Linked DNA regions of Drosophila melanogaster. The protein of the gene in region 1 interacts with the protein of each later gene in a pairwise test. Each region holds a gene or a part of one and is shown on either strand. Other genes may lie near its edges.

Region 1 (6,214 bases):
CATCCGTCCTGCACCCCATCCCCCCGGGATCACAGGCGCGCCCTGCTCGTCCTTTCCGACCTTTCAGTTGTTGTTGTCCCGTGTCCGTTTCCTTTCGGTGCGGCATAGCCGATTCCCAAGTTACCTTCCTATGTCCTTTTTTTTAATAGGGTTGCATTGAAGGGTGTGTGCGAAAATAAAGCATTTTAATCAAATTTTCTTTTTTTTACATTTTAAAGCAGACATAAATAAATTATCAATACCTTACAATCTTGGGTAATCAAGTTTTGAGCGTATAAATTTTCATGAATTTTTTTTGAATGTATAAGTTGTCAATTTAATGACGAATTAACTTAATTGCTACAAATAAACGAATCTGGACTTTTAATTCAGTTGATTTCAAATGAGTTTCGATCTGGTTTTAGCGAACAACGACCGATATATGTAATTGCTTAAATTGCTTTTCTTGGCAAAACGTGCACTGCTGACGCACTTAAAGAATAAGTTATTCAGGTTAGACAGTTAAGCTATTTAGGTAATATTTAACGTATCCGTTAAGCATTGTATTCTACCAATAAGCTACCTAAAATTTTGTTTGTGAACTTTGATCACTTGAACTTTGATCACGATGCTTCTTTACGAATATAGATTTTCGTATTTGCATACAAAATTCGTTTAATGTGCATATTTGTAGGAGATTCCCCAGTGCGGTATGCCCGACCATGATAAGCATTTGCAGCTGGCACGCTTCACATTCATCTCTTCGATCGGCACTTCCCCTGCGAGTTAGTTTGACCTGCCACTGCAATGATAAGTGCACACCTAAAAGCACTGCGAGAAATTTTCGAATTTCGTTGTCATGGAAATTGGTATGCGGTATGAGTTAGTTTGAACGAAATCACGTTTACCTCCGTTGGCATGGAGAACCAATTCTTATCGGCTTTATTGCCGATTGTTAACGTAGTAAAGGTGGAGTGGTCCCAAAATGCTAATCGATAATGCTGTCAAAATTTGGAATGAACATAATTCGCTTTATGGTTTATGTCCGCGCATTGTGTAATCATGACCATAATTTAAAATAAAGGGATTTATATTTTGGGTTTGTTGGAAGGGGGAAGGGGGGAGTGCTGAAATATAAGATGACACCATAAATGAAGAATCTCCTGTCCCAAGAAAAAAAAAAAGAAACAATCTCATTGATAGCAATAAATGTTTATTTATGGTCAAGGAAATTGGGCATTATTCGATTTATTTGGGGCTGCGAATTTGACACTATCTCAGCGAATTGTTGTTTCGCAATTTCGGAAGGGGCATTTAAATAATCACGCCCAGACGTCAAGTCTGTGAACTTATGATATGGATGGATTGGATATTTGCATTTAGTATGTCGGCAATGGTGTGTGTACACATTATTTACTTGATAAGCACTTGATGTTGTTAAGGGCGTATCAAAATTGAATCATATATATTATTTTTATCTCATTTTTATCGTACACTTGACATTGTGTAATATTGCGTGCTGGTTTTCCTCTCCCCATTTCAGTTAAACTTGGCCGAAGCATCTTCTATTTATTTTCGAACCAACTCAATTGCTGTTGTATCTTGTATCTTTCGGATATATTTAGGCGACATCTCGAGCAGGAAAGTTGTACCTTTCCCTTTCGTTTTTGAGTTATTTGCCCGAACACAGGCAGCAAATAGTAAATAGCAAATACATTATCCACAGCCGCAGCTGTCGTGTGTCTATTGAGCCATTATACATACTATATGATTGAACAGTTTGAGAAGCACGCGACAAGTGGCAGCGGATAATTTGGGGATGAACTGTGGCCCAAAACCCGGCAATTGTGATCATTTCGTGTGGGTAGAACTTCGCAGTAAACTCATAAAGTAATTTACGCGGCTGTTGAGTGAAATTCATCTTTCCAATATTTATCTATCCTTCCATTTTGGCGGCCATAAATCTGTGCAACAAGCAGGCCTCATTGTTCATCAATCGAATGTGCCTGAAAGTTCGCAGAAGACACTTGCTTGGAATTTTCGGGAAATTAATAACAAAGATCGGCTTACTCGGCACAATCGGCGGACTGTTGTTAATGGTGCGTCAATAAACATGTACAGTAAATACTCTAAATATAGGTAAGCAACCATGTTGCATATAATTTCGTGACAGTGAAAATGTTTTACTATGAAACAAAAGTGCAAATATTAATTACAGATATAGATATTCCAAAAATATCCTTTCGAATGCGTGATCTTTGATTCATGTGTTTAGATCACTTACAAGTAAATGCTGTTTGATGCTAGAGTTACGCCGAATGTAAATTCTCCGTAGCGAGCGTGCACTGTATATATTTTTTAGTACAATCCATATTTCGGCGTGGGAATGTCACGTTGTGTTTAGACAACTGTTGGGCCAACTACCTGCCTCTGTCTGAGTGGCTATGAGTCAGATAAATATATAGCCAATTCACCATTATCTGATCTATAACCGACGATTATCGCGCGATATGTCTGCTTCCGATGGCTTCCAAAACATCGAAATACAATGGGGTAATGCAGAAAGAGCATCGCATTGTCATTCTCAGCCAATTTAACCCGCAATCGCAATACGAGGCCTTATCGTAATCAGTCCGCTTCGCGAGGCAGTAAATTTCGGTTTTGCTGTTTAAGGTACTCGGCTTTATGTTTTCGGCTAATAACGGTTCTCGCACTCTCAGCCAATTTGGTGGGTCAGTCAGTTAGCCCGCGGACCGTGCGACGAGTGCATGTGAGTAGCGATCGTTGGTATTTGGTAATTCGTTGCTTCTGAAGTAACATCGATCGGGCCTTTTTGAGCCGAGTTAGCTTTTAGGCCAATGCCATGAGCAAGCTGAAGTTCGAGCTCGTTTCCGAGTTCAATCGAAAACCAGTTGACCGAGTGAAGTGGACCGCGATGGCAGAAATTTGTCGAGCAGAATGTGCTGGGGATTTGTGTGTTTTTTTTTTGCACACGCAAAGTGATAAGCGGCGATTAGATTTAAAACACCCAATAAACTATAAATTGCGATTTCTGCGCGCTCGTGATTGATAAATATTTGCCTCTCAGCAGTGGATTGGTGATAAGGTCGAAAAGGACCTTCAACAGTCTAAGTAGAAAATCTGGTTAACAACGTTTGAAGTGTTTCCATTACATGTGTAAAACCATTCGGATAAGAAAACGAACTAATACTTAAAACACGCTTCATTAAGTGGCAGTGCATTAATTTTTTATTAAAATTTTTAGATTTTCATGAGTGCAAAAACAATGATTATGACAAACCAGTTGCCGTGCGCGAATCAGTGCTTATTCACCGAAGATTATCCACCCACATTTCATCCCTTCGTGTGTGATAACTTATCAGCGATTGTTGTGTTTATTGTTCCAGCACCAAAATGTTACCTGCCCGTGGTCTCCTTATCGGATCATGCTGCCTACTGGCTCTACTGATTCATCCTGTGCAGCCGAATCCCATTGCACCCCGGGCGGAAGTTGCCGCCGAGTTCATCATTCTGCACAACAATGACATGCACGCCCGATTCGAGCAGACGAGTGTGACCAGTGGCACCTGCTCCAAGGAGGAGGCCAATACGGATCAGTGCTACGGAGGATTCGCCAGGGTGGCATACGAGTAAGTGCGGTCAGTTTGCCTAGAGTTCAACTATTCATGCTGATGAACTTCAACTAGGGTGCGAAAGTATCGCAAGGAGGCGGAGGAGGGTGGAACTCCAGTGTTTTATCTCAATGCAGGTGACACCTATACCGGAACTGCTTGGTTCACCGTCTATAAGGACAAGATCGCCAGTGCTTTCCTCAACAAGCTATCGCCAGATGCTATTGTAACTATTATTTTATTGTTTTCCGCATTCTCTTACTATATTTCATCAATATACCTTTCAATAGTCTCTGGGCAACCATGAGTTTGATCAGAATGTTGAGGGTTTGGTGCCCTTCCTAAATGCCGTGGAATTCCCTGTTTTGGCCTGTAATCTGAACCTCACCGATGTTCCGGAAATGGCGGCTGCCAAGCAGCTGGCCAACTCGACGATCCTCGAGAGAAATGGGGTGAAGGTTGGCGTTATCGGTTACCTTACGCCCGATACCAAGGTGCTTGCCTTTCGGAACAAAGTGGAGTACGAGGAGGAAATCGTGTCCATCAAGTGGGTATAGCTCAAATCCGCTGGAGAGCAAGGATGTTAATGCATGTTCATTTATTCCGCAGTGCGGAGGCCGCAAAGCTAAAGGCTCAAGGCATCAATATCATCATCGCTTTGGGTCACTCTGGATACCAAAAGGATCAGGAGATAGCCATGAACTGCCCGGAGGTGGACATAGTCATTGGTGGCCATTCGCACACATTCTTAGATGCCAATCAGCCGGTGGCCGATCCCACGGACTCTGATCCGGAGGCGGTTCGAGGTCCCTATCCCACCACAGTGGTGCAGGCGAGCGGCAAGAAGGTACCAGTGGTTCAGGCATACGCGTATACCAAGTATCTCGGAAAGATTCATGTTCAGGTAAGCACTATATATTATCTGGATTATTATTAAAGAAATTTGAATATAATTGTAATACGAATATTTCCAGTTTGATGCCGAGGGAAATCTGATCGAGTTTGATGGCGCTCCCATTTTGCTGAATGCCTCTGTAGCTCAGGAGCAGGATCTCCTGGATTTGCTAGACGAATACCGCCCCAAGCTGGACGAGCTGGAGAACACGGTTCTGGGTTACACTAAGGTGTTTCTCGAGGGCGGCAACATCTGCCGCATGAGGGAGTGCAACCTTGGCAACTTGGTGACAGATGCCATGATCTATAGTCGCGTGTTGGAAAACAAGGGCGGCGAATTCTGGACAGATACTGCGATTGCTTTTATGCAGGGAGGAGGTGTGTTTTATTTGGTGTCATTAGAGAAATTCGAAATTACGTGGATCTACATATTTTATAGGAATCCGTGGCTCCGTCGATAAGAAGGATGATGGAGTCATCAATGGCGCCACCCTCTTAGCCGTTCTTCCGTTCGAGAATAATCTGTACGTGACAAGGATTCTCGGAAGCACCCTTCTGGCTGCCCTGGAACACTCCGCGTCTGTGAGGTTGCAGGACTCCAATGGTGGATTCCTGCAGATGTCCGGACTGCGTGTGGTGTACAACTACAACAATGAGCAGGGCAAGCGAGTGGTTTCCGCACAGGCCCTATGCGCCAGCTGCGCCGTGCCCACGTACAAGAGCATCAATGAGACGGCCCTGTACCAAGTGATCGTGCCCCAGTTCCTGCTGGAAGGCGGCGATGGCTACACTCTGATCGAGGAGTCGGATCCCTTCACCGAGAGCATGCAGCGAAACGATCTGAATGCTACCATGGAGTACCTGAAGCAGCGCCATTTCGTGTATCCCGAGATCGAGGAACGAATTGTGATTCACGAGAAGGCTGACACCGGATCGGCGTCTGGTATTGTGGCCTCCATCTCCTTGCTTCTGCTCTCTTCCCTGCTAACTAGATTCATCTAGTGGCACTTTCAGCTTCTCATTTCAGAACCCCAATTCATAAATAAGCTTATTAATGCGATTGCATTTTTTCGACTTAAAGAGTCAAGTGTGATTGGTGATAAGTTTGCCCTTAATTAATATAATATATGCTTGTTTCACACACAAACTTAAACTAAATAGCTAATAAATGTTGTGAGAACTGAAATGATATTGTGTTTAAATTTATTTACTGCTTGTGTAGTTTTCGATTAAATCGCCCGATAATCCAGATACCCTATTCATTCTGATTTACTATTTTCGAGATCCATTCTGCATTTGCCATAGCACTGGTTATTACGTATACGTCATTGTGCGAAACGTCTACCAAGCCCAATAGAACGAAATGGACCATGCCCGAAACATTCAATATTTTTTTAACCAATATATCGCCAGCTGTACCAAATTGCTTAAGCGCATTTGGTTGGAAAGTGTTTTTCACACAAAACTGATTCTGTTCGATATTTCTCCTCAACTCAAGTTCACACAACTGCCAATTAAGGCTTTGCACATTTATAACGTAATTGCTTAAGCCATATTGACCTGTGCCAGTGATTCTTAAAGAACCAGCGATGTTTGCAGTTTCCAGAATGCAGATCGGTCTCAATGCACCTGCAACAGAAAATCACTGTAATGTCTCAGCCTATGTTGTCCAACTAATTTTACCTCTGTTTTCCAACCGACGCGTCAGG
Region 2 (6,630 bases), on another chromosome or scaffold:
GGAGATGTCGCCAAGGGCGAGGTTCTCTCCGCCTACGTGGGATCCGGGCCTCCACCAGACACCGGACTCCATCGTTACGTTTTCCTGATCTACGAGCAGCGGTGCAAGCTCACATTCGACGAGAAGCGACTGCCCAATAACAGCGGAGATGGACGCGGTGGCTTCAAAATCGCCGAGTTCGCCAAGAAGTACGCCCTCGGCAATCCCATTGCCGGTAACCTCTACCAGGCTGAGTACGACGACTATGTGCCCATCCTCTACAAGCAGCTGGGCGCTTAGTTTCTACGCCAAAAACCATGCTTATATAAGCCAGTCTGAATTGGATTCAAATCTATTGTAACCTAGAAATTAAAGACACCTATGAACACTCTGTGAAACCCTCTGTTGCTGGCAATAAAATTGTTAAAGACATATTAACTAAGCCACTGTATCTTATTACACATTTTCAATATTTTCATATCTTATCTTGTTAATTTGTCTGAAGTAATAATTCGGTTACCCTTTGCTGAGGCAAAACAGTTTCTGTGCTGGTTATGTATTTATTATTCATTCCAATTACAATCTACTTCTTTATCAATAGGATTCTTCTAGCGTCATTTGTATACATACAGATTTCATGAACTTGAGTTTATATCTCGCCAAAATACATGCTTTGAAGATACAAGACATAATTGCTATCGGACCTTCCAAATAGGAAGAACGTTTCTGATCAGTATTATAGTTATTTCCCAGGGCGCAAGAGACGCCCATCTGGGTAAGTTATTTATTTGTAAAAGCATTGCGACATAATTACAATCTACTTCTTAAAGTCAAGAGGATGGTTCTTCATGTGTGCAATAATAAAGGTCTCTAATACAACTAGATGCAGACTCATACAATCCATAAAATAATGCTGAAGAAGAACCCACGCTCTATTTCCTCCTTTGATGGGTCCAGTGCATATTCGGCTGTTGAGAAGGAGGGGAGGTGTCTAGTTTCCAAATTACTTTACTCTATAGAGGGAAAGACAGTGCGATGGTCTTTCCATTCGGTTTCGCTGATTGCCTATAAAAAGCAAGGTCGGAGTTAGTTAGTATGAAATAGGCTGCATGACTATGTTACCAACTTACCACTAGCTCGTCGAAAGCCTGTTTGGCCAGCCAGTGGAAGCATGGACTCTTCCATTCGCGCGCAATCGCCTGCTGATCCTTGACGTCGTCCTCGGCGGTGGACTTGGAATTGGTAATGGCCTTGTACTTGGCCCACAGGAAGACCATGCTGCGCAACTTGTAAACCCACAGGTCATTGGGTATGCCGCGAATAATGTCCTGTATTTCCACCATGTTCAACTCCGTAAGGTTATCCAGGAAGGTGCGGTTCATCAACGTAAAGATCGTCTTCATTGTGTCGTACGGCACGTCGGCATTCTTCTCGAGACCAAAGTGTGCCGACTTTATGATAGCGTAAACCACCTGCTCTGTGGTTAGCTTGGGCAGATTGGGTAGGAAGCAATGCTCTAGATTCAAGTTCCCACACTCCAACAGTTGCTGGTCGATCTCCTCGCCAACATTCTTGTAGTCCTTCCACCAGTTGCCCCAATCATTATATTTCTTCGATTCGTTAAGCGGTGCCCAATCGGACCGTATGCGTTTCCTGTTGCGCTTTGCAATCTTGCGAGCCGACTTGGCGTCGTCGGCCACCGATTCGTCTTCCGAATCTTCGTTGAGCACTACGGCCGCCTCTACGAAGTCCTCCTCGGTGGCGTCCTGGTTTGTACTGTAATTGAAGGTTTGTTCGAAGAAGGTCAAGGCATATGAGTCCGCCTCCGGCTGTGGGAGCTTCTTCGGCTGATCGTTGAGATAGGGAATCTTGAATCCGCCAATAAGGAAACCGCGCTTGCGTGCCACGCGTCGCCATTTCTTGACCGACTTGGAGGCAGCCTCCGTTTCCAGCGGTGGAGGTGGGGCAACACGCTTCTGACCTGCAATGCATAACATATTAGGAACTTGTGTATGGTAAAACTATTCCTAGTTGCTTTGCAAAACTCTACTAAATGAATTGGAATAGTTAGAAGAAAGTTTTGTAATGCAACCTTACGAAATAGAACTGAATCTTACTAATTTGGACGGGGAATCCAGGAGCGTTTGGCGGCCTACTGGGCACTCCTGCTGGTTTGCCTCCTTGTGGTCCACCTTTCACTGCCTGCTGGCCAGTTCTAGGTGCCAGTGGTCCCGACTTCTGCAGCTGTGGTCCAGTTTTCAAGCCCTGTTGTCCAGTTCTCAAGCCCTGTGGTCCAGATCTCAATCCCTGTGGTCCAGCTCTTAATCCCTGTGGTCCAGTTCTTAATCCCTGTGGTCCTGTCCTGTTTGCCTGCGGTCCGGTCTTCACGGCTGGTGCGGCCACCGGTGGCTTCTTGTTGGTAACCGAGACCGTTTTCGAATTGGGTGTTACGTTATTGACTTTATACTGATTTGGTGCTGCAACGGGCAGCTTTTTCTGTACTCCAGTCGCATTGCCCGGACGCAGGTTGGCGGTCTTGTTGTTGCGCAGAGTGGGCGCACCTGCGCTTTTGACGATTTCAGCCTTCTGAGGATTGTTGCGCAAGTTCTGGACCGCCTTAGCGGCTGGCTGTGGAGCTGGCTTTCGAACAGATCCGCTGTTGTTCAGATTCATCTTCTGCAGCTGATTGCGCTTCGAGTTGAAGGCGCGCTGACCAGCTTCCCATCCAGAGCCACCGGAACCTACTCCTCCTCCGCCGCCGGCACCGCCTCCTCCACCACCGCCGCTTCTTCCTCCACCTCCGCCACCACCACCACTGTTCGATTGATAGCCAGAGTTCTGGAACGATGATGATTGTGATTTGTTCCAGTTGTTGCGAGAGTCTTGGAAGGTGCGACTAATGTTGTTGCTAAAGCCGCCTCCGGAATTATTGTTGCCAAAGTTACCACCAGAGTTCGGTTTAAAACCTGGGCCTCCGGATCCTCCGACAGCCGGTCCGCGGTTGTTAAAGTTTCCAATATCCCTATTGTTGTCCCCAAAGTTTCCAGAGTTCTGGCCAAAGTTGTTGCTAAAGCCGCCTCCGGAATTATTGCTGCCAAAGTTGCCACCAGAGTTCGGGTTAAAGCCTGGGCCTCCGGATCCTCCGACAGCCGGTCCGCGGTTGTTAAAGTTTCCTATATCCCTATTGTTGTCCCCAAAGTTTCCAGAGTTCTGGCCAAAGTTGCCGTGATTTCCACTGCGTCCGTAGGAATCATTGAAACCGGAACGCTGGTCATCATAGTTAGGACCTCTGTTTGGGAAATTGTCATTGTTGAAGTTGCGTTGATTGTTTCCTCCAAACGAAGGACCACTGTTTCCACCAAAAGGGACATCGCTTCCTCCAAAGGAAGGTCCACTATTGCCCCCATAAGCGGGTCCATTGTTTCCACCAAAAGAGGGAGCATTGTTGCCGCCAAATGGCACTCCATCGTTGGGAACGAAATTACCGAATGATCCCTGATTTCTGGGTTCATCGTTGAAAAACCTATCGCCGCTTCCCTGCGGCTGGGGACCTCGATAGTTGACATCTGGATTGCAGTCCATACGGTTCTCCACCTCCAGCAAGCGGGCTACGTTGCTCTGATTGGATGCTCCCCTGTTCGCTTGGCCGAAATTGGAGGACGGCCCGCCACGAAATTTGTCCTGGAAATTATCGCCGAAACGCTGGTTGCTGCTCGGATTGAAACCGCTCCGATCTCCGTCTCCGGAACGTGGGTAGCTGTTGTTGCCGCCACTGTTGCTGTTGTTGCTGTAGTTGCCACCGCCGCGACTGAAGTTGCCACCATCTGGGCTGGTATTCCGGTTGACGCCGTAGCCTCCGCCACCGAAAGTGCCACCGTAGCCTCCTCTGCCACTGGTATTGCCGCCTCCGCCGAAGTTGGCGCCGCTACCGCCTCCGCCGTAGTTTGAGGAATACATCCCGCCGCCGCCGCCTCCTCCACCACCACCAACGCCGCTGGAGCTCCCCATTCCGCGCCGCTGGCCAATGCCGTAAGCGTCGTTCTTCATTTGGCGGTAGTCCATTCCGAATAGTCCTTGCCCGGATTTACCTTTACGTCGAGCACTCGCCGCTGCTTCCAATTAACTGGCTTCTCTGCGATTTTTTCCAACACAACAAACGCGGCACAAAAAATGCTTTCCTTTCCCCGAATTTTTCACTGTCTGGTGCCAGGGTTGCAAAGCAATGAAAGCCGGCTGCTCAAAATGGTAATAAGTCCGATTCGAAGTTGGTATTTTTATTGAAAAATACTGAGCGTGATAGAAAAATACCGCTATTGAATTAGTTAGGAATACCTTGCAATAAATTATTATTTATTTATATTTTAAGCATTATGTCAAATGTGATTTGTTATAAACAACATTTGACAAATGTATAATTTCGGTTTTGATTCGGTAATATTCTGAAAGCCATCTTCCAAAAAATTTCTTTAGCAAGATATTTATAGAGAAGAAGCTTACTGTATAATTTCTTTTCACTACTATCGTAGTTAATTAAAGAGCTATATTTTATAGTAATATTTACTAATGAATTGGTTGTATTAAGTATTATATTATATTACATACATACTTACACTTTCACTACCAAAGAAAACACACAACCTGAAAATATTGAATCACAAATTCTTTTGAAAAATGTAGAATAAAACATGAGCACGAAAGTCAAACCAGGAAAACCAACAAAAAAAAAAAACATTACAAAAATCTATGAAAGTTAAATATAAGCTAGCTGTTGCCTCGAAACCGCTTTTTAATCTACACTAGTCGGCATAAGTATTTTGACAAAATAAGCGCAGCACATTTGTCAGTGTGTAAGTAATATAAACTTAAAAATTAACAAGCAAAATTTTTTTTATTGAAACTTAAAAAGATATAAACAACTTAATAAAATATGATGTTTTTTTCTTTCGCAGTCAATATATGATATCATTTGAATATATAGAAAATCCAATCAGCCCCTTTTTTTCAGTTTCTAATAAAATTCAAGAATAAAATAAATTGTAAAATTTGCGCCTTTATTAACATTATCACAGCGGGCATTATTCATTTATGTGCCTTTTTAGTTACTGAACACTGGAATGCGAACATGAAGCATCTGAAAAATGGGAAGAAAGAACAGAAATTAAAGATTTGAATCCTCCAAACTTGGTGCACTGCATCACCTTGGTGGTCTTATCGAACAGAGCTTGTGCACGATCCTGCTGCAGACGGTAGTTGACGAATTTGTTGAACACATAGCCATACTTGCGGGTTTCCACCACGATACGATCCTCGCCGACAAGGAGACTGAACTCCTGCGAAGAAACCTGCGGATTGATGTGGTGACATAAATAAACTTCTTTTTCTCTGTGCATCCATAATAATCTTACGTAGTTGGGCAAGTAGATCTCAGCATGGATTTCGTCAACGGACTCGTCACGAACTCGACCACGAAGTTTGTACTGTATATCCAGAAAACCGCCGCCTGCAGACTGTCGACTCTTCCTTATGGCAGCAGCATCCTTCTCGTCGATCTCCTGCACCAGTTTTCCGGAATTTTCCGGTGCCACAGCCCCACCATCCCGGCTGTTAAGAGCAGCAGGAATGCCGGACGTAGACTGGGCCCTTTTCATATCTTCGTTGCGCACACGATGAGTGACCAAAGTGCCGATGAACTTGCGATTGTTCAGAATAATGGTCTTTTCCATGTTGAGCTGCACATTATACTTTTCGCTCATCGCCTCAATCACAATTTGCATAAAGAAGTTCTTGAAGAGCTGCGACTTCTGGATCTTTACCAGAAACTTTGGGTTGATAGCGATGTCGCAGACATCGACGGTCTTATCGGAACGATCCTTCGTGAATCTGGGATCTGAGATGCTCATGGGCACTCGATAGGAGCCAGGAGTAGTGGATTCCAGTATGCCAATCAGTTCCTCCTCGGTGACATCCTGCGGTGCTGGAACTTCCGCTGCCTGGCACACGTTAATGAAGAACTTTTCATCACTGTTTGTCTTGAAGCTTTTCACGCAGATTCCTAATGGGGAAACAGAAAAGAGTTGAGTATTATTAAAATGGCTTGTTATCTGGAAAGTTTCTGGCAGCTAAAAAAAAAAAATAGAAAGTTGAGGCGATTCAATCGTATGGGCCATTGCAAAAGCAAACCCCTTTGTTTTATTTTGGCTTTGATTCCATATACAATCTTATACAATATGCTTCGCATTCAATTATGCTTTCAAGCCGGGATAGATTTTTTTATGATCCGGCCACGCGATCTCGCTGATTGCCTATAAATAAAGATAAGGTTCGTTGTCAGTTGAAGATAGTAGAACTTGGGTTTCCTTAAGGTTTTCAGATACTTTTAGCTTTGGGAAATGTTGTTTTCTCACCTTAAGCTCATCGAAAGCCTGCTTGGCTAACCAGTGAAAGACAGGACTTTTCCATTCTCTCGCTATGGATTGAATTTCCTTATCGCTTTTGAAATTATTAGCTGAATGGGTTTTAAGAGTGCCATGGTACCTTTCCCAAAGGTAGACCATGCTGCGGATCTTGTAGAGCCACAAGTGATTTGGAACGCCACGTATCAAGTCCTGCAACTGTTCCAATTGCTCATCAGACAAACTGTTGAGGAACTTT

The links. The genes of interacting proteins can lie anywhere in the genome.
Region 2: the proteins of veil (region 1) and CG5787 interact in a two-hybrid assay, tested with the Drosophila melanogaster proteins (one large-scale study listed by BioGRID).

The regions. Positions count from the first base shown.
Region 1 is NT_033778.4:17,476,431-17,482,644, forward strand, and holds veil (veil), read left to right. Parts: upstream 1-1,727; 5' UTR 1,728-1,839; exon of another isoform or gene 1,840-1,958; 5' UTR 1,959-2,078; exon of another isoform or gene 2,079-3,386; 5' UTR 3,387-3,393; coding exon 3,394-3,629; exon of another isoform or gene 3,630-3,686; coding exon 3,687-3,837; exon of another isoform or gene 3,838-3,901; coding exon 3,902-4,158; exon of another isoform or gene 4,159-4,220; coding exon 4,221-4,515; exon of another isoform or gene 4,516-4,585; coding exon 4,586-4,883; exon of another isoform or gene 4,884-4,944; coding exon 4,945-5,507; 3' UTR 5,508-5,688; downstream 5,689-6,214. Other genes in the region: CG43110 (uncharacterized protein), read right to left, coding at 5,761-6,134, 6,189-6,214.
Region 2 is NT_033779.5:12,708,266-12,714,895, forward strand, and holds CG5787 (uncharacterized protein), read right to left. Parts: upstream 4,688-6,630; 5' UTR 4,590-4,687; intron 4,267-4,589; 5' UTR 4,042-4,266; coding exon 2,097-4,041; intron 1,961-2,096; coding exon 1,110-1,960; intron 1,045-1,109; coding exon 988-1,044; 3' UTR 527-987; downstream 1-526. Other genes in the region: CG6180 (uncharacterized protein), read left to right, coding at 1-279; Pih1D1 (PIH1 domain containing 1), read right to left, coding at 6,222-6,281, 6,384-6,630.